Tamandua tetradactyla: one gene and its partners. The protein of the gene in region 2 interacts with the protein of the main gene of each other region in a pairwise test. Links are inferred from orthologs where the notes say so. Each region holds a gene or a part of one and is shown on either strand. Other genes may lie near its edges.

Region 1 (6,835 bases), on a different chromosome or scaffold from region 2:
TACTGATTGAGAAAAGCAAGTTTTTCCATAGGCAGATGAAACAGTGGAGAAAATGTTATGAAAAACACACAGTGGTTTTTACATGGGAACCTCAAATTGCCTTTGCAAAAGGAGATCGATATTGATTTGAAATCTGTTATCACTACAATTCAGCCCTGGAAAGGAAAGGTGAGGTAAGGTAAAAGCTCTTCTAATAGCAGATACAGGAGTTAAACTCTGTCTGCACGCCCTACAACCTCAACACCTGGTTGATGCCAAAGCCCATACTCTTTAGTCTCCCTAAAAGAAAGCAAAATATTTTTGTCATGAATACATGTGAAATTACTATCTCGGTTTTTTAAACAGAAATATCTGGAACACAATAAGATCTATTAAAAAGTTGGCAAGTGGCTAGGAATATGGTTATATAATCAAAAATATCTACCAGGTAAAACTCTGGTTTAGCATAATTTTTAACTGCATAGAATGTTTTGTCCTCTAATTTCTTGTTCGGTTGTCTTTAATTCTTTTATAATGAACACTGTGTCAATGCTCTAAATAAGGGTTCCATTTGGCCAAAATGATGAATCATATTTTTATTGTAATCAATGAATGACCATAGATATCCATTCCAAGAGCCAATAAATAATGCATTTAATTAATTTCCTTTTAAAATATAGAACCAAAGTGTGCATCATTCAACTGCTTGGACAACTGTGAAATTCACAAATTTGTTTTCTCAAATATAGCCAAAAAAGAGTTATAGCATTTCTTCAATTTGATCATGTAGATACATTATGGAAGATAATCTGTTAAAAATTTAAATAAATCCTCTAACGATGAAAATAATATAAGAACTCTTTAGTTTCAGAATTGGTCATGTTCTGAGCACATGAAATCCAATGTGATTTAAATTCCGTGAAGTACTTTTGCTTTTAATATTTAATTCAGAATTTCTACCAATTTCAAAAATGACATAGAAACCAAAAGAAGGAAAAGCAATAGATTGCCATAGAGCTTATATTTAAGTCATTGAGGAGAAATAGTGCAATGTAATCTGAATTCTATAAAAATGAAAAAGAACTATTGTTAGTAATCAATCTAAATCACAAGTAGCCTAAGACATACAAGGATACTTAGTAATTATGTGTTTATTTCTGGCTCAAGCAGTACTACATTTTTAAAACAATTGCACTATAAGTAAAAAGTCTTTTTGGAAGAAAGGGAAATAAATGTGTGACAATATTAAAAGTTGACATAGAATGTGTATAAAGAAAATTAACTTCATTGTCAGAAAACTTTAATTTAATCATTACAACACTGAATTATTTGATGCAGTACTCATTTTGCATACTAAGCCTACTCTTTAATTTAAAAATGTAACAATATAAATTTGAATGATAGGTTAATAGAGTAAGTCATTCAATGCTTGATTTCTTAAGAATATAGAGGAATATATGAACGTGTTAATAAAAAGAAGGTATGGTTTACAGACAGATGCAAAGTACGACTCCCTTAGTAGGTTATCATTGAGCAATAAAACTCACATTTACTGAGCTCAAGACATTTGATGAGATGTCTGAAGTGATGGTAGAAAGAATAGTGTAATTTAGGGTATGACTATTTTCTTTCATTAGGTCCATAATTCTCATAGCCCAGATGTGCTTGAACAGACAGCATTCCCTACAGTCTGCTAGCCATGTTGCCAGATATGGGGTATAAAATATTCTAATTTGTTCTCTTCCAAGCAATGAAAAAGTCACACCATCTAAAAGGAAATGGTACACACTCTACAATTACTATTACAGCCAGAGCTGTGAGTCACCCAGCTGCCTGCACAAGACAATTTGGCTACTGGAAAATCCTGATTAATGACATTTTTTTTAAACACCAGAGTAACAACTTGACCTGCCAAAACTGCCATTTATTTTCACCATGTTTGCCTTGGTTATCTATTACCTTTCAAGGAGAATATGAAGGAAGAAATGAAAATTGTGTTGTAATGTATTTTAACTTCAAATCTAACTGTTGTTCTTTCCAGTCAGGGAAAGAGTTTCTCAGAATTATGTCAGCTTTGAGACATGTGAAAGAGTCCTTACAAATGTGTACTCCTTCAAGCTATGTTGAGATGTTAAATTATTTTCTAATCACAAATATAATTAATTCGCCACCTACAAATAAGTGTTTTTTAAATCATAGTCTAAGAAATCAGATATACAGTTCCACTGTGATACAGGGGGAGCTGTATGAAGGCCACCAAGGAAGTATTTCCTCAAGGAAGTCCACTTCTTAAGTGCCTAATCGTGGGTTTCGCCTACCTCTAAGACCCGAAATGACAGAGGAGGGGGGAAAAAAGCAGTTGTGCTTTACATTTCGAGCTCTAAAACCACCCATAGTACATACTGGCAGAGTTAAAAGACACAGAGATTGAATTCAATGCCGATCGCTTGATTTTTAATCAATACAAGACAAGCCCCCACTAATAAATCACGAATTCCTAATTCGAAGCCTTTGCCTGAATCGCCTTCTATTTCAGAGACGCAACATACAGGCAGCTGGAATAAAATTACCTAAGAAGTGCGGAAGAGCCAAAAGGAAGAGTAGATGCTTTTCAGTTTCCGATGGCAAATAAACCAGCCAACACGTTCTCTACTCCCCGCTCTCCCCGCATTCTCTTTCCCTCACTCTCCACCTGCAAATCTCTTCTGCTCTCCTCTCTAAAGCTCTTTGCCCTTTCGCTCCTCTTCTCATCTCCTTCAACTCTTGTCTTTAAGAGTCCGCCCCTCCCCATCTCAGCACCCCAAGTCCAGTTTGCTCCAAGCCTCTCAGTACCGCACGCCCGGTGCAAGGACGGGTGGGGTGGGGGTGTGGAGAGACGCCCTCATCCCAAAGCAGGCACACCTGGCCGCGCTAGGCAGCGCGCCGGTCCCTGCCGCCCCCCACCCCCTCAGCGTGCCAGGGCTGTAATAATTACATCCTCATTATTTCTCCAGCAAACGTTAGCGAACAAGCCTGGAGAACAGCAACAGCCGCGGCCGGGGGAGGCTTAGTTACAAAATCCTGCACTGGGTAGCACCTCGCATAGCAACCATCCTTAAAAAAGCCCCCGTGCTCCTCGCACACACTTGGAAAGCGGGGCGGCTGCCACCCCCTCCAGGCGTGCACACCCGCGCGCAGCCCCTCCGCCCTCCCACCCCACCCCACCTCCTCGCGGAAACCGCTGCAACCCCGGCAGAAATCGCCCCCTGTCTCCCCCTCCTCCCCGCCCCACGACGACCACACGCGCAGCCTGGGCTCCCCCAGCACGTTTCATTCATTCTCAATTCCCGTCGGCGTTTTCCCACCTCAGCAATGGCAAGGATGTGGAAAGCAGGGGGTGGAAAGGGGGGGCGGATCTGTGTGGGGTAGGGAATTTTTTTTTTTTTATTTGAAATGCAGTTTGCTAACCTCCATCCCCACCCCACCCCCATACCCTCCAAGCTACCACCAGCGGTTTGAAGCCCCCTCGCTAGCCAGCTGTTCCTAGGTCTCGCCTGTTCCCTCCACCCCGCAGCTGGGAATTTCACACCTCAGGCAGCGCCGGGTTCCCTGCGTCCGGCTCGTTCCACACTATGGAGCCCAGGGTCCAGGAGACCCTCGCGCCATCACCAGCTACGTGCGCAGCCAGATCGAGTCTGGACCCGTGACGGGGGGTGCGGAATGAAGCTTCCCCTGTCCCCAGGGCCTGAAACCCTCCTCCCCCAGGGACTCCCGAGGTGCTTGGTGGCCGCCAGGCTGCCCTTCGGGGTCCTACTGCTCCCCGACACTCGCAGCGCTCGCTCCTGCAGCCCAGGACTCCTGGGACCCGCGGAGGAGACCCCCCGCGTGGCATCGGCGGACCCACGCTGCCCGGCCGCTCCGGGGTCTCCCGGGCTCAACTCCAGTCCCAGAGGGTTCGTGCGAGGCGGAGTGGGCAGCACATCCCTAATCCAGCCCGGGCGCCCCTGAGCCGCCACCCCCAGAAGGGGCAAAAGACGCCCACCGGCTCCCTCCCGAACCTCCGCACACCGCCCCCACTTCCCCGCGCCTAAGGCTCGCCACGATAGGTTTTCCAAGAGTCCTTGAGACTTTGCAGCTCCCAAGCTACACCAAACTGTGCCTGCTCCCGGTGCAAACTCTCAACGTGCCCAAGACGGTGACCAGAAGCCGGCGACCCGAGCACCATCGAACCCAGGGTGCTGCGCAAACCACCTCCTTGTGCCTCGACGGCACTCCCCAGCCCTGGCTACTTTCTCCCCATTTCCCCTCTTCCTAGGTTCCGAGGGCCCCTCCAGATGAATGAGATTCGTACCTTTCTCAGCGCTGACATTCTCAGGCATTACTATTTCAGCAGGTTCTAGGTGACATGGTGAGGTGGCTGACCCCCTCAAGCCAGGTAAGCCGGGAAACGGCGCGCGGCCGCGGGAAGGTAACGCTGCTGGCTCGGGGCTGGAGACCCCGCGGTGCGGGCGCTGAGCGGCGTCCGGCTCCGCTACCGCTGCCGCCGCGCTGTCCAAGCCGCACTCCGAACCTCGCGCACGGGTTCTCACGGTCGGCGCCTGCGCACACTCGCGCCCGGAGAGGCACCGGCGCACTGGGGGGGCCGGCCCGCGCTGGGCTCCATCTAGAGAAGGTCCGGAGTCATTCGCTCTCCTAGCTTTGAAACTGTAGCGCAAAAGCTGCGGCTTCGCTCCCCCAACCTGATTGGGCTACTGAGCATGCCCGGTCCTAGCGCGGAAACCCCCAGAGGAGCGTTCAAATAGGAGTTTTTTGCCGGAGCTACCGAATGGAAAGCGGCAGCGCTTCCAATTCAACCAACTGTTGCACAAGGAAGCGGGAAGGGTCACTCGGGGACAGAGAGGGAAGAGGGAAGAGGCGGCTCCCGAGAAGAAGCCACCAGCGCTGGTCGAACAGATTCAACCGCTAGAAGCACTAACGAATTTTAAAAGCGCTTTGAAAGTTAGCTCTAAAATTCTGTAAACGTACACCTCGGCCCTTGGAAAGATTCATCCTACTCTGGACTAAGATAAGTGACACGCTGGGCGCATTCATATGAGGAAATAATTTATACTTTAAAGTCTGCTCGATACCCAAGATGCCCACTTCGTCGAGAGCGTAGAGGAGCACTGAAAACATAGGAGAAGGCATTTACTTGCAAAGGAATTTCACTCTAAAGGTATTGCAGGTGCTATAACATTCTTCTATTGTGAATGTAATAAAACTTAGCCTCCCACTATTTCCACGTGCGAACTTTCCAGTGCATGGTATTTCCAAGTGGGGTCTTCCCAAGAAAGAAGGACACCATGACATTCCCAAACTCCATACGCATTCATTCTTTTTTAATAAACGTGGGTTGAAAGACAACACACCCATCAGATGGAATCCTGCCGCCTTACTGCTTTGATTATCGGCCTCATACAGATGACTCAAGCCAAGGAAAAAGGAAGAATTAATTCAGTAGAAGTTGTGTTAATAACCTGCGGTGATCTGGAAAACTCAGCAACATTGAACATATTTTGATAGAGCCTAATTAAATATATGGAAATATGCTTCCAAGATCTGACAGCGATAAGAAAAGAAAATTATATATTATTATATAGTGATAACCAGAGACCTATTTTTTTTAGTTCCTGGCTCTATCGCCTGATCTTGAGCAAGTCTCTTAGCACAATTTTTAATACAGATATTACAATGGATTTTCCATATCTCTGAGTTATTGTGAAGTTTAAATGAGATACAAGGTGTGAATCCATAAAAAAGTAAAAATACCTAGGTGAGAGTTTATAGAAAAATAATGGATAGGGGTTAGAGTAGGAAAGTGAATCAGATGATCAAAGATATTTGAAACAAGATAAACCAATCGTTTCCAAAGTTACAAGATCTTCAAAGAAAAACACTGTTGTATAAGATTTCTTCATATAATGAACACTCAAATATTAACCAATTGCAATTTATTTTCAAAACAAAGATCAAATACTGGGAGATACAAAGATGAATCTTGTGCTGAATTTGACCACAATCTAACTTCTCCCAAGTGTTTCTTTAAAACAACTTTCAATTCATCTCCACTTTTGGAAACAGATTGATGAATTGTGAGTGCCAAACCTCAACCAAAACTCTAAATTCTGGAAACGACTTTTTAAAATTGTAAATCCCTTTACTTTCCTCCTCCCCATACTTGTCCCCATCCATCTTTTTTTATTTTAATTTATTTATTCACTCATACATCAGCAACCACAAAAATGTATTGAATGCCTATCATATGCTCTCAATATTTATGTAAGATAGAAACCGAGAAACAGTCACTGGCCTTATGGAGCTTACAGTCTAAAAAGGGAGTCATTTTAAAATACTGCATAAGTGACATATATTTACAAATCCTTCTCTAAAAGAAAAGTACAGGGTGGTGTGGAGAATGTTAAAAGGACAATTATTTTAGCTTACAATATTAGGAAAGAACTCTTTGAGGAAGTCATATTTAAGTTAAATCCTTATTTTTCTTTAGGTTCCCCATGAGCAGATCCTGAGACATGGATTTGGGTTCAAGTAGTTTATTTGGGAGGTTGATTTCCAGGAACTGGAGAGTTGAAGTAGGAAAACAGAGTCGGGAAGGAGTGAAAGCTCATAAAGTGTGCATTAATAAGCTGGTTACTGTTGTGGGCAACTGGAGCTCAGTCCTGCTGGGTATCTTCTAAGAATGGTACAGAATGCACCTCAGAACTGCCTGCCTGAGCATTGGAAGGCTGGACATTTTTCAGCTAAATTACAGTCTCAATGATTGAGAGTTATTTCTCCTTCCTCCGTGGCCTCTGCCTACCCTGTTCCCCTGTGTTGAGAA
Region 2 (6,835 bases):
ATGAACAATATTTTATGTAGTTACTTCATTTTGCAAATGCTCTGTTACACATGTTCTTGATTTCCCTTTAGTGGAAAACAGGAGCAAAAGGAGAACCCAGCATGAAATGCTATATATGATATTGACTCTGCTTTAGAACTTTGGGCTATTTCAGAACATTTCTACTGTTACGTACTTAGCCTCAGCTTTGCATCCCTCCTTTAAGAAGATCCCTTGGCGCATTCGGGAGTGTTGGCCTCGGCTGCGCATGGGGGAAAGCAGGATTCTCTACATCAGCCCTTCATTTTCAGCCTCTTGGTGACTCTGGGGGATTTCGTGGCTGGTTGGGTGGTACTTGCCTGTGGTCCTCCTTTTCTAGGAGGCCCTGGTAGGTGGCGATCTCGCCCTCCAGCCGGGCTTTAGTGTCCAGCAGCATGTGGTACTCGTGGTTCTGCCGCTGGAGGTCACCGCGGATTTCGGCCAGCTGGGCCTCCACGTTATCAATCAGTCCCTGCACCCGGGCCAGCTGGGTGCTGTAGCGGGCCTCGGTCTCTGCCGCGGTGCATTCCAGAGAGTCTGTCTGCCGTAGAAAATTCAAAGGGTAAAAGGACAGGGTAGCCCAGCCTCCAGGCCCAGCATCCCTGTTCCGCTCCACCTTTTTCTAGTTATGTGACCTTGGGAAAATTACTTAGCTTCTCTGAGCCTCAATTATATTATTATAGTATAAATAAAATGCAGAATGCAAAGTACTTAGCTCATAGGATGATTGTGAGGTTTAAATGAGTTAGTATGTGTAAAGCACTTAGAACAGTGCCTGGAAAGGTTTTAAGGGCAATTTATCAAGCTCTCCCTTGTTAAGCTTAGTTTAACATTGTTTTGTTTTTTTGCGCCCAGGTTTCTCTGAAATCCATGTTCTACAACCTGCACATTAGCTGTCACACCACCTCTAGGACAGCCACAACCTACAACGTTCTGCTGTAGCTTAAGGAGGATGACCAGTGTTTTTGAGAGGAAATGTTGAGTGTGTGCTCCTGGCAGGGTGGGGCTGCACTACAGCGTGGTTAAGAAACGAGGCTCCGGGGTCTACCCATCTGGTTCAGCTTCTACATCTGCCTCTTAAAGTTGTACGATCCCCTGTAGTCACTTAATCTGATACTCAGTTTTTCTCGTCTGCGTCATGGAGTTCGTGAAGATATCTACCCCATAAGTATTGTAAGGATTAGATCAGCATGGCGGCTCTTGTGAGACTGACGCTTGGCTATTATTCACCTGGATACTCTCCATAACACCTAACATGATGTATGCCTGGTTCCTGACCGGAACTGGCTGATGTAATTTCTTGGATGCCTGATATTCAGGTTGCTTGGTTGGGGTGGGGTGCAGTGAAGTGTCAGGCGGAGGCATGGATCCTAGGGGCTTTAGGATAGCGTTGAAAGTATAAAAGCTTGAAAAGCATTTTTTTGTTTTTGTTTTTGCTTTAGAAATGAGGGTCACATGGAAAATTGGCCCAGATCAAAAAAAGCATTAAAACCTTTTGGAATTCTTGAGTGCCTTTGGCTGATAGGTCCCCTACCCTTCTCTGCTCCTGCCCTCTCCCTCTTTCTCTGACTCTGGCTCGATCATGCCCAAGACCATGCTAGCCAAGGCGTCCTGCTGGGGCAGGACAAGCTGTTGACCTGTGACTTCTGCTAGCTGACAGCATGCTCAGGAAAGGCAAGGAAATGTAGACCCTGCAAACTGGAAATTCAGAACTTTTGCTATATGAATGTGAGTTTCTCCCTTGGGTTATGGAAGAGAGGACAGTATCTCCCTGGACTATCTCAGGGCCTGATTCATTTGTGACAAAACAGAAGCTGACTTTCCCTTGCGCACCAGATTCTCCTGGGCTTGGAGCTCAATCTCCAGAGAGCTTGCCGAGCGTTTCAGTTCCAGGATCTCCGTCTGGCAGCTCTGCAGCTGCTCTGCGCTGGACAGCTGCTGCTGATTCACCTCCTCCATCTGAAACACAGGGGTGATTAAAGAACACAAAGAAGGCAAGAGTCTGGAAGCCTGTCATTCTCCTGCTGCAGGTGCCCACCTGAGCAGCGAACCATTCTTCCACATCGCTGCGGTTGCTGGCGAGCACCACTTCATACTGACAGCGCATCTCATCCAGGGCCTTGCTGAGGTCAATGGCTGGGGCAGGTTCCAGCTCCACACTGAGTCGGTCACCAAGCTGTTCAGCAAGCAAGCTGACCTCCTGAAAGTGGAAATGGAGTCGAGAATGTCACCGCCTGATGGGGCGGGGGTGAGGAATCAGTTTGACAGAATTCTTTCCCAGTGGCAGCCCATTTCTGGTTTTTGGAGTTGTAGTTAAAATTGTGGGATTTAGTTTCAAATCGACTGGGTTGAATCTCTTCTCACCACTTAGAAGTCCCTTTTTATCTTCATCTGCAATATGGGTATAATAATTTTGTCTTTTCCAAAGTGTTAGTGTGAGATATGTGAGCGTTTACTATATATACAAAGAACTTATAAAAGCCCTGGCACATAGTAAGAGCTCAATAAATGTTAACTATTATTATCATCAGCAAATGTTCAGAGGTAAAATGTACTTTGTTGCATCAGTTTTTCATTTTCCAGCTTCATCAATAAGGGACAAATGCAGAACATTTGAAAATACCGATCCAAATATTGCATGAATCTTTATCCCCCTTTTTGAAATAGATTTCATTGCCTGTGTTCATCAACCTGATTTTTGTAGACTGGAGTTGGCATGAAGCCTCCAAGGAAAGCCATTTACAAAGTCATTTACTTCCTCCACAAAAAGCAATGGCAAGAGGAGAGTTTGGACCCTTCACATGGTACTGGCCAGGAGCTATTCCCTGTCCATATTCAGACACAAATTGGAATGATCAGGCTGAATAGCCATAGTGCCCTCAGGTAATTTTGTTCCAGCTTAAGCAACATCTACCCAAGTTCAACTTGAATACTTGAACATGAAATCTTAAACTTTGTTGTTCTCAGAGTCTTTCAGCCACCTTGCCAGTTTCCTCACCTCTTCGTGGTTTTTCTTAAGGCAAAGGAGATCATCCTTCAGGGACTCCACCTGCACCTCCAGGTCAGATTTGCACAGGGTCAGCTCGTCCAGGATCCTACGTAGGCCACCGATGTCTGTCTCTTCCAGCTGGTGAAGAGACAGTTCAGCCTCGTACCTTTCATAACAAAAGACGGACACATCCAATGCTTACTCTGCCAGGTGCTGTGCAAGCCCTGTGGGCGTACAGGTGAATGACACGTGAACTCAAGGGAGCCACATGCTGTCATTTACTTCATATCCCAAATAACTATAAATTACAGGTTTGTGAGCATTAGTAGCTTAAAAATATTTGTGCTAAATGTGTGTGTGTGTGAGAGAGGGAGAGACAGAGAAACCATAAATAATTTTCAAATTCAAATTAAACTTACTTTGACCTAAAGTCATCGGCAGCTAGTTTGCAGTTGTCAAGCTGTACGGCAAGTCTGGAATTCTCTGCCTTTGTGCACAAGATCTGGGAAGTAAGTTATTATGTAATAAATGATTATTTGCATGAAACTTAACCATTCATTTAAAATCAATGAAATTATGTATCTTTTAACAATCTGTTTAAGACAGTATAGCTTTCAATTAACTATTCATTTAAAATCAATGCAATTATGTATCTTTTAACAATCTCTTTAAGACAGCATAGCTTTCAATTTATTGCTTTTCTCTATATATGTTATTTTTCACAATAAAAATAATGTTAAAAAAAAGAAAGTATAGCTTTCAGCCTGCTTTTCTGATGAACTATGTCACTCACGACTATATACCCATCCATGGTAATAGAAATTTATCAGTAAGAGAAGAAAAAGGCTACCAGGTGAAATCGTTTGATTAAAAAGATGACAGTGAAGATTCTGTTTAAATATAAATATACAGTGTTAAATACAGAAGTAGTTTTAGACATACTACAGTTTTTTCTCATTTTATAGAAGATAACAGTTAAGCTTACAGCTAAGTGACTATATTATGGTCACTTAATTAATTAGTGGCAGTGCTGGGGCTAGTGCTGAGGTTTCCTGACTCTTTGCCCAGAGATCTTTCCACGTTAGCTCTTGGAATTTCCCTCTCCTTTGATTTCCTTTCATCAAACAGCCTCTTCTAGACTGAAGATGAAGCAAATCACTGGGAGGGCAGAGGAATTAGGGCAGCAAAACACCAAACCTTTTGCTGGAGATCTTCAATGGTGTTGAAGTAACGCTGATAATCAGGACACACCAGTGGGATTTCCTGGTCACACTGCTCTCGGATCCTGCCCTCCAGCTCTGCATTGGCCTCTTCCAGGCCGTGCACCTTCTCCAGATAGCTGGCGAGCCTGTCATTCAGGAACTGCATCGTCTCCTTCTCATTGCTATTGAAGACCCCATCCTCACACCAAGCACAGGTCCCCACCAAGCATGGACTGTTACGACTCCCAGCAAAGTAATATGGCTTGAAGCAATGGGTTGGCAGGTGAGACCTGGACTGGAAGCCAGGGGTCTCGCATCTGGAGGTGGAGTAGACCTTGGGGAGACAAGCTGTTTCCACGGAGCAGGTTGAAACAGATGGAAAATCAGAAGCCCTAGGACAGGGTTCAGTAGAGCAGCAAGTGGGGGCATGGTCAGAAGTCATCCTAGTAGAGATGAAGAACAGACAGTATTTGCAAAACCCAAGTGACCTGACTCCAGAAGTCTCCTTCCTTTCTGAGACTTTTATATGTCCCCCACAAAATGGGTATTTACAGGTCTCACCAGATGTTTTCTTTATCACTGTTTGTGCTAGTTTTCCTAAGAACATTTCATTAGTCTTGTTTATTTACTGAGGAAGAGTTTTATGCCTCATAAAAGAAGGTTAACTTCAGGTTACTAAATCAGAACTTATACTGTTTCCATGTGCTAGTAGGATAAAATACTTGGTTGCAGAAAATCTGCACAGGAGCACTATCCTTTTGACAGAATAAGGAAAGAAAGAAAATTTGGCCAATTTGTAACTGATTTAAATAAGGAAAATATTCCAATGGATTTTGATCATGTTCATTTAAAATTTGTTTCTCTCTTAAAATTAATATTGCAACTCATTAAATGCCATTTATTTGTTTGTGCCACCAATATTAAAATATTCATTGTGATTAGCCATTTTTGTAATGCTTTTTGCAATCTTGAATTGGCATACGTGCTTGCATGGTAGAGAAGTGAGGCATGCACTTGTGTGAAGTGTGTATGTGTACGTGTGTGTGTGTGTGTGTGTTAACCATATCGCTCTCTGTGAAAATTGAAAGATCACATTGCCTAATTGTTAGGCATAATTTGTGCCCTGTAGGCCAAAATATAAATTGATTATCTGGAACTGAAGTTATAAATCTTGATTTGTTGGAACTTGCCTTTTCTGTACATTCTATATGTCTCATTTTTTAGATCAGGGGAACTATTATTATTATTATTTTACCTTGGAAATACCTGTAGGTTACTTAGGCACTTCTGATAAGAGTGAAATATAAATTCTAAGTTACTATCTTTTAGGTGCTTGGGAAATCTTCAATGATTGCGCTTAGAATATGGGCAAGAAAGCTACAGGAAACGTTTCTTCTGATATGGAATCTGCTTTCTCTTATTTATTTTTTTCAAAGGCCTCAATTTAATGAAAATTAAAAATACTGGAACTTGGGAATAAAAATTTTATGTTGTCGGTTTCATGATGAATCCCTCGTGGATGGAGTCTCTAAGGGATAGGGACTTGAGATATAACTTTTTTTGATTCTCTTTTTAATCTCACCTCCACTTTGAAGCTTTATCTATCCCACTTTGCTTGGCTTTAACTGCGGTATTTCTTTCATTTTCAGAGGTAACACAGAGCAAATTGCCTCCAGAATCTTTGAGATCCTTACAAGAAAAAAGCCTTATAAGAAAAAAAAAATTCATAATCCAGGACAAATTCATTTTTTTCTAACTCTAAATCTTGCTTCCTAGATATCTGATGATGCAAAAACAAAAACAAAACAAAAACAGGAGACTGTGAATAATGGATTTAAATAGTCTGTTAGGACTTACTCTTCATCGAACAAAGTTGTATTTGATTTTAGTGATTCTCTTTACATTTCAACACCTATGCAAACATTCTTAGAGTACCTCATAATATTTTTTAGTGCAATTTTATTGAGATATATTTACACACTGTAGAAACCATCTGAAGTATTCAATCACTGGCTTACGATATAATCACATAGTTGGGCATACATCCCCATGATCAAATTTAGAACATTTTCATTACTACTAGAAAAGAAATAAAAATAAAAAAGAAAATTCTTATATACCTCATAATATTTTGATGCTGTTCTGAAAATGAGATGAGTTAAAAAATTCAAGACCTTATTAGAGCAGAAAAAGTTCTGGTCTGGATAATTCACAATCTGTGATCTGGATAATTCACAATCTGTGATGGTTGTGCATGTACTTAATGTCATGGAATTGTATACTTTAAAATGGTAGATGTTATGTTTATTTTGCCACAATACAAATGTAGGTGTTAATAAAGTTACATATATGAAACAAAAAACATGATCTGAAGAAAAATTACAAACCCATAGTACTCTGATGAGTCAGAAGAGAAATATCCTGGAAGAGAATCTAGGACTTGCTTGTCCATCAGTGTATCCAGTTAATTAAAATGCAGCAATGTGTCATTATTTTCAAGTCGCAGGTAAAGTAAGACATTTCCTTTTGTCTCAACGTAATTTCTATTTGCAAAATGTTGATTACTGTTATTGTATATAAACACCAAGAAGGGCTGTTTATTTTGGCTTTGATTAGTTAATGCAGT
Region 3 (6,835 bases), on a different chromosome or scaffold from region 2:
AAATGGAATTGTTTTCTTAATTTCCTCTTCAGATTGTTCCTTACCTGCATATAGGAACACAATTGCTTTTTGTATGTTGATCTTATATCCTCTCACTTTGTTGAATTCATTCATCAGCTCTAATAGTTTTTTTGTGGATTCCTTTAGGGTTTCTGTATATAAGATTATGTCTGCAAGTAAAGTTGATTTTACTTATTCTTTTCAAAAAAAAAAAACTGTATCAGATAAATGTTTGTTGTTTTAAGACACCAAACTTGGGGGTCATTTGTTACGCAGCAATGAAAACTAACACAACTGATAACGACAGGCCCATGCTCCCACCTCAGGGCCTTTGCACTTGCTGTTCCCCCATCTAGAACTTTCTCCTCCCAGATATCCGCATAGCTCCTTCCCTCCCTTCCTTCAGGTCTCCCCTCAAATGTCACTTCCTGTGACCCTCCCCCACCCCCCATTTCTACATTTCCCCATCCTCTTATTCCAGCTCCTTTTTCAGTTTAGGATTTATCACCCCCCTTCATATTATGTATTTGTGTCTTGCCTGTCCCCCGCCCTGGAACACCAACTCCAGAAGGGCCAGGATCTTTGTTTTCTTCACTGCTGTATCTACCATGCCTGGAACAGCATCTAGGAACAGAATAGGTGCTCAAAGTCACGGCTGTCTTTCTTAGAATCTAGCAGACCTGATTTGAGCCAGGCCTGGATCAGACCCTGTTTCCTGCCCACCCAGTACCCACCCTGCTCAGGGGATGGGACACGGCTGTGACCTTACCCTCCACCGAGACAGATTACTAATTGGTAACTCTGACGGGAGAAGTCCATGGGTCTCAGGGTCCATCCTCACTTCCCACTACCCTCAGGATAAAGTCCCAGTACAACTACAGGCGCCTCTCTTCACCTGAAATCCCACCCTCCAGCCACAAAGACCATGAACTGCTTGCACTTCACTTACAGAAGCCTGCAAAGTGGGGGTGCACCACCCCACAAACCAACCTTCGGGGCTCACGTAGAATACATTAGAACACCCCAATCTTTTAATCACCGCTTTTTGTTTTCCAATCTGCAGAATCTATTGGTAGAGTTGTATTTGCATGTAATTTATAAATAAAGAAACTTTCATATGGGGCTCAGTTTCAGCATTTTTACTGATTGGGGTGCAGAAAATTGAAGGAAAAAAAATGTTGGCATCTTTTACCCTAAAGCAATTCACCCACCCCACCCAAGGGACACTCGAGGATTTCTGTAGTCATTTGGGTTGACCGGGGTTCGGGGGGGCTTCTGGCATCTAGTTAGTAGAGACGAAGGATGCTGCTAAACATCCTACAAAGCACAGGGCATCACCGCTCCCCCCCCCCCAAGAACTATCTAGAACAAAATGTTAGTGTCCTGGCAGAGAAACTGCCTTAAAGCGCCAGGTTCTCAACTGCTTCTCTCAATTGTAACAGAGGCCCAGAGCCCCAACGAAGACCTCAAACTTCACGGACTCTGTACCAGCACCTCCTCCTCCAAGCAGCTATCTTTGGGGGGCCCTGGGCTGGGCTGGGCCGGTGCCTCTCCTTAGGGCTCCTTCGGCTCCAGGTGCAGGGTTAGAATCCTCCCGGCTCACAGGTTTCCCAACCTCCAGAGTGACAATGGAGATTCCCCAGAGTCCTTTCCCCCACCAGCGGGCTGTAGAACCGAGCACTTGAATTTTTAACAAGCACCCCCCCACCCCCTCCTCCGAGCCCCGAGCGCTTAGTCGGGTGACCATTTGAGGACCTGGCACCTGCGAGGCGCTGCCCAGTGCCCTAACTCAGGCCCTCGAGGCCCGACCTCCCGCTTTGCCCGCCCCCAGGATGTAGCCACTGTCAGCGCCCCCATTTTACAGAGGGGTAAACTGAGGTGGCGAGGAGGGCTCCGGCCAGCTCAGAGGCTCAGAACGGAAAGGGGATCCCAAGGCCTGGTTCCTCGGCGGGGAAGGGGAGACGGGGCGCAGCGGGGGCGGGGGGGCTCGGGGGCCCCGCCACGGCCCGGCGATGCGGCCCCGCCCCCACGAGGGACGTGAAGACGCGGAGCCCGCGCCGCGTGGGCACATGTGACCGACTGCAGAGGCCGCACCGGCCCCCTCCCCGCCCCGGGTTCGCGCGCTCCGCCGCAGGGCGCGGGTCCAGGGCGCCCGCCCGGGTTTGGGGCGCACGAGCCGGGGCGGAGCCAAGGAAGAGCCCAGGTGCCTCATTTCCTCTCCTACCTCCCCAAAGCCCAGAGAAACGAAAGCGAAAGAGGGGTTCAGGGAAGAAGGGCGGGGCCGGCCCCCAGGCCCCGCCCCGCCCTGCGCGGCATCCGGACCGCCGAGCGCAGCCAGGAACGGGGGACTGCCGAGCCGCGCAGCGCCGACCCTCGGGGAGCCCCGCGCCGCCGCCGCCATGTCCCAGGAAGGTGTGGAGGTAGGAGACGGCCACGGCTGCCCCGGGGGACCCGGAGAGTCGCCGGGGGGAGGAGCCGGGGCGCGCGGCGGGCTTCGCAGTTTCCCGGGGAACCCCCCCCCCCCCCCCGCTCCATCCTGAACCCAGACCTTCCCCCCCGGGCTGGCCCTCGCTCCCCCCTCAGGAAGGAGAGTGACCGCCGCGCCTCACCCCGGGGTCAAGCGGGGGCTGCAGGGTCAGGGGTCAGAGTTCAGAGCCAGGGACTCCCTGGCCAGCATCCCTCCTAAACCCGGGACGCCGCTCCTCGCCCTCCCCTGCCCCCAGTGCCCTGTAGGGACTTTGGATTTTTCCAGGAAGTGCGTGGAAGGAGGGGGAGGCTGGGGGGGGGCGGCCAGGCCAAAAGCAAGGGTCAAGTTCAGGGCGGGAGAGCGCTGCCTAGGGTTGGTGGAGGGGCGAGCGCCCCTCGCCTCCCCCAACGCAGCCTCCCCCACCCTCACCCCCGTGCCCCACTCCAAGCTGGAGAAGAGCTCCCGGCGCCTGCGGGAGAAGTTTCATGGGAAGGTCTCCTCCGAGAGGGCGGGGGCTCTGATGCGGAAATACGACAGCGACCACACCGGTGTGGGGCGCTCCATCGTGTACGGTGAGGGGGCTGGGGGGGGGGCTGGGTGATGTGGAGGAAGCGCCGAGAGGGACCTGGCCTGACTGAGGGAGGGAAGAGGCGTTGAGATCACCTGCTGGGGGCCCCAGCCTTGGGGAGGGTCTGTGCTGCAGGGGGTCTGGGGGAGGGTGGCCTAAAACATCCCCAGACTCTTCAAGGGCCCTTCACTTACACCTGCTGTCTCCACCAGAGGTGAAGCAGAAAGACGGAAAGGAACTAAGCAGTGACCTGGAGACCCAGGTAATCTGCTCCCTCCCTTCAGAGGCGGGGATAATGGGGGCGGGGAGGGCAGAGGGACCAGCCCAGCCACCCAGAGCTCCCCCCCTCCAAAGCAGAAGGAACTGGGCACTGCCAGTCCACAACTCGTGGTCCAAATTTATTTGCTTATTTACCTCTGTATTTGTGTCCGGCCAGGGAGTTGGCAAACAGCAGGCGCTCGATATGTGCGGATTGGATTAAAACGGGGAGGCAGTGACAGGAGCCAGAATTAATGCCATCCTGGGGTGGGGGGTTGTGAGAAGTCAGGGAAGGCTTCCTGGAGGAGGTGATGCCCCGTCTTAAAGGATGGCAAGCAGTGAGCCCTGCAAAGAGGAGGGGACGGATCGCGTCCGGAAAGAAGGATGGTGTGAGAAAGGAAACTGAGAGGGGCATTCATTCCTGGAAAGACTGGGGTGAGCAGGAGATGGGGGAGGTGAGGCGGCCGGGGAGCTCGTGTTTTGAATGAATGAATGGATGGATGGATGGATGAAAGGCTTTGAAGCACGCAGCTGCTTTGCCTTTTCGAAACAGGGCTTTGGTGGTTGGTAGACTGGATTTTACCAGCCTAAAAGGCACAGCGTAGAGTCATAAACCTGTAATAAAAACCAGGCACCGGGATTAGCACTTCCCATGTGGCAGGGCTGGAGGAATCTTACATGTGTTGATTTATTTCAGCCTCACAGCGGAGCCCAGGAGTTAGGTTCTATTACTTATTGTTCCCATTTCACAAACAAGGAAACTGAGGTCCAGAGTGATGACGTCAGTTGCCAGGCAGATGGGCGAGTGGGTGGCAGCTGGGATTCGAACCCTGCCCACCTGGAGGCAGAGTCTGAGCTCTGAGATGCAACTTAAGGAACCACGGCCCGCAGCTGGAAGTGGTGGAGCCGGGATTCGAACCTGCGGCTCTGGGAATCCCGGGCTTTGCAAGGCTGCTGCAAGGAGGGGGACCTGTCTCCGGGCCAGCCAGGGTGTGGCTGGGGAGGCGGCACTCACAGTGGAAGATGGTGTTGGTGGGCAGGGTGGGAGCGCGGGGTCTCTAGTTCTTGGCCTCAGTTTCTCCATCTGAGCCATGGGGATAACAGGTGTGCACACCTCTAACTAATGGAGGTGCAAGTGGATGTTGCTCGTCGTGAGTCGGGGGCACCCCCATCTTCATGCTGGGCTGGGGCCCTCCTCCCCCGCCTTCCCCCACCACCCCTGCTCCGGGAACCCCAATTGTAGGAGCTCCTCATTTCTCTACCCAGGACCCCCCTGAGGACATGAAGCAGGACCAGGACATTAAGGTGAGTCGGCACCTGGCGCAGGTCTTGGGGGGGATGTGTGGGGGCACCCATGGCGGACGAGGCGGAGGGGGGCCCTGGGGAGGGGTGGAGGAGCAGCCTCTGCTGTGAGGAGGTGTCTGGGGGAAGGAGGAGTGAAGTCGGTCACGAGGGCAGAAGACAGTGGTCAGGGGAGGGGTGACCCCTGCAGAGGGAGGAGAGGTGACCCCCCCGCCTCCGTCCCCCCCCAATTCCGCAGGAGGTGGCGACGTCCCTGCTGCCGCTGACGGTAGCCAACCTGCGCATGTTCCAGCGGGCGCAGGAGGACCTCATCCCGGCCGTGGACCACCAGTTCGCCTGCTCCAGCTGCGACCATGTCTGGTGGCGTCGCGTGCCCGAGCGCAAGCAGGTGAGACCCGGACTCGCGACCTTGACTCGCTCCCGAACTTGGCTCCCGGCCCCCATCCTCGGCGCCTGGCCCTCTGACCCGAGGACATCCATGTCGGAGAGCCTGGCTCCTGACCCCTGACCCCTGACCCCTGACCTCCAAGGTCCACCTCGGCCCTAAATCACTAACCCGGAGCTGGACTTATGAGCTTTTAATTGGAGAAGCCCCAGAGCCTGAACCCCGAATTGCACAGTTGGAGGCTGCGCCCCGCCCCCTCCCCCCCCCCCCCCCCCCCCCGCAAATCAAGCTTTACCCCAAAACCACAACCCCACATCTGACCTCTGGGCCCCCTGACAATTTAAGCCACAAAAGCTTAAGGATGGACCTCTGGAGAGAGGAGCCCTGATCTGTAAGGCTGGTCTGTCTCCCTGGTATAACTACTCCCCTTGTGGCCAGTTCGGGCCCAGCTCGGGACCCCGCCTGGGTGACAGCCAGCCCGCTCCCCACGCCCCCCCGCCCCCCCCCCCCCCCCAGCTGTCCCGGTGCAAGAAATGCAAGAAGCGCTACAAGCCGGTGCCGGAGGACAAGATGTGGGGCCTGGCCGAGTTCCACTGCCCCAAGTGCCGGCACAACTTCCGGTGAGGGTGCCGCCCCCCCCCGCCCTGTTCCCCCCCAGCCCCGCCCCCCGCCCCGTGGCCCCCTGACCCTCACAGCCCTGCCACCCCCAGGGGCTGGGCACAGATGGGGTCCCCGTCGCCCTGCTACGGGTGCGGCTTCCCCGTGTATCCGACGCGGATTCTCCCCCCACGTTGGGACCGGGACATGGTGCGCCGTAGCAGCCACACGCATTCCTGCTCGGCGGCCGATTGCTACAACCGGCGAGGTGAGGGCCTGGCGCCTTCTGTGGCCTCCCTCCCTTCCCCCCACCCCACCAGGGCCAGCTCAGCGGCGGGGGCACCCCCCCCCCGTGATGTCCCCCCGCCCCCACTGTGGCTCTCAGCGCTGGGGTCTCCACCTGTTGCTTCCTCCTCTCTCCCCAGGTCCCGGGGTCCGGGGCTTCCACCCCTCCCACCGCCCGCCTCTCGGGGTCTCACTGGGAGGCCCCGTGGTGGCACAGAGTGGCCCACTGTCCCCATGGCCTCTGTGCCCCTGTCCCCTGGGTCTCTTCGGACCCCCATGGGGCCTCATCACCTCTCCCTCCCCAGAGCCCCACATGCCCGGGACATCCTGCGCGCACCCCAAGAGCCGGAAGCAAAACCGCCTCCCCAAGGTCCTCTACCCCAGCGACCCCCACATCAGCAGTGGCTCCACAGTGGCCACGTGCCTGAGCCAGGGGAGTCTCCTGGAGGACCTGGACAGCATCATCCTGGAGGACCTGGAAGAGGAGGAAGAGGAGGAAGGGCAGGGAGAGGAGGAGGAGAAGGGCGGGCACGGGGCGTGAGCCCTGGCCAGTGCAGACAGCAAACCAGACACGTTCTGTGGCCACTTTGTGTTGTCATAAAATTTGAGCTCAAATTGAGATATAAAGTGCCCTTGGGTCTGAGAGGTTGATGGGGGTGAGGATGGGGATTTTGGGGTCCTGTTTTGCAGGGCTTTGAGTAAGAGGTCCCCAGGACACGGCTATGTTGAGCCACCAAAGAGGGATGGCCAGGACAGCTTTGGGGACAGGTGGACACAGTCATGACCTCAGCGGCCGGATCAGCATGGCAGCTTTCTTGAGAGAGTATGCCCCACCACGAAACTCCGCCCAGTAGACACCGTCCTGGTAGCGGCTGCGGTAGTGGCCCCCACGATGCCACACGCCATTGAGGTTGGAATGGGCACAGGCGTGGTACCACCAGCCTCCCCGCTGGTACAGGGCACAGTTACCTGA

What was found.
Region 1: the proteins of KRT40 (region 2) and DLGAP2 interact in a two-hybrid assay, tested with the Homo sapiens proteins (2 studies listed by BioGRID). The link is inferred for Tamandua tetradactyla from reciprocal best matches to the Homo sapiens genes KRT40 and DLGAP2.
Region 3: the proteins of KRT40 (region 2) and SHFL interact in binary tests that used the Homo sapiens proteins (3 or more experiments, as listed by UniProt). The two-hybrid records come from large-scale screens. The link is inferred for Tamandua tetradactyla from reciprocal best matches to the Homo sapiens genes KRT40 and SHFL.

What each region holds. Positions count from the first base shown.
Region 1 is NC_135329.1:41,809,115-41,815,949, forward strand, and holds the start of DLGAP2 (disks large-associated protein 2), read right to left. Parts: upstream 4,473-6,835; 5' UTR 4,310-4,472; intron 1-4,309.
Region 2 is NC_135332.1:26,434,248-26,441,082, reverse strand, and holds the start of KRT40 (keratin, type I cytoskeletal 40), read right to left. Parts: upstream 4,652-6,835; coding exon 4,205-4,651; intron 3,510-4,204; coding exon 3,427-3,509; intron 3,174-3,426; coding exon 3,017-3,173; intron 2,219-3,016; coding exon 2,057-2,218; intron 1,978-2,056; coding exon 1,852-1,977; intron 560-1,851; coding exon 339-559; intron 1-338. UniProt on the Homo sapiens protein: May play a role in late hair differentiation.
Region 3 is NC_135337.1:91,633,619-91,640,453, reverse strand, and holds SHFL (shiftless antiviral inhibitor of ribosomal frameshifting protein), read left to right. Parts: upstream 1-2,288; 5' UTR 2,289-2,399; coding exon 2,400-2,420; intron 2,421-2,915; coding exon 2,916-3,039; intron 3,040-3,247; coding exon 3,248-3,297; intron 3,298-4,559; coding exon 4,560-4,598; intron 4,599-4,833; coding exon 4,834-4,983; intron 4,984-5,496; coding exon 5,497-5,600; intron 5,601-5,690; coding exon 5,691-5,845; intron 5,846-6,167; coding exon 6,168-6,403; downstream 6,404-6,835. Other genes in the region: ANGPTL6 (angiopoietin-related protein 6), read right to left, coding at 6,641-6,831.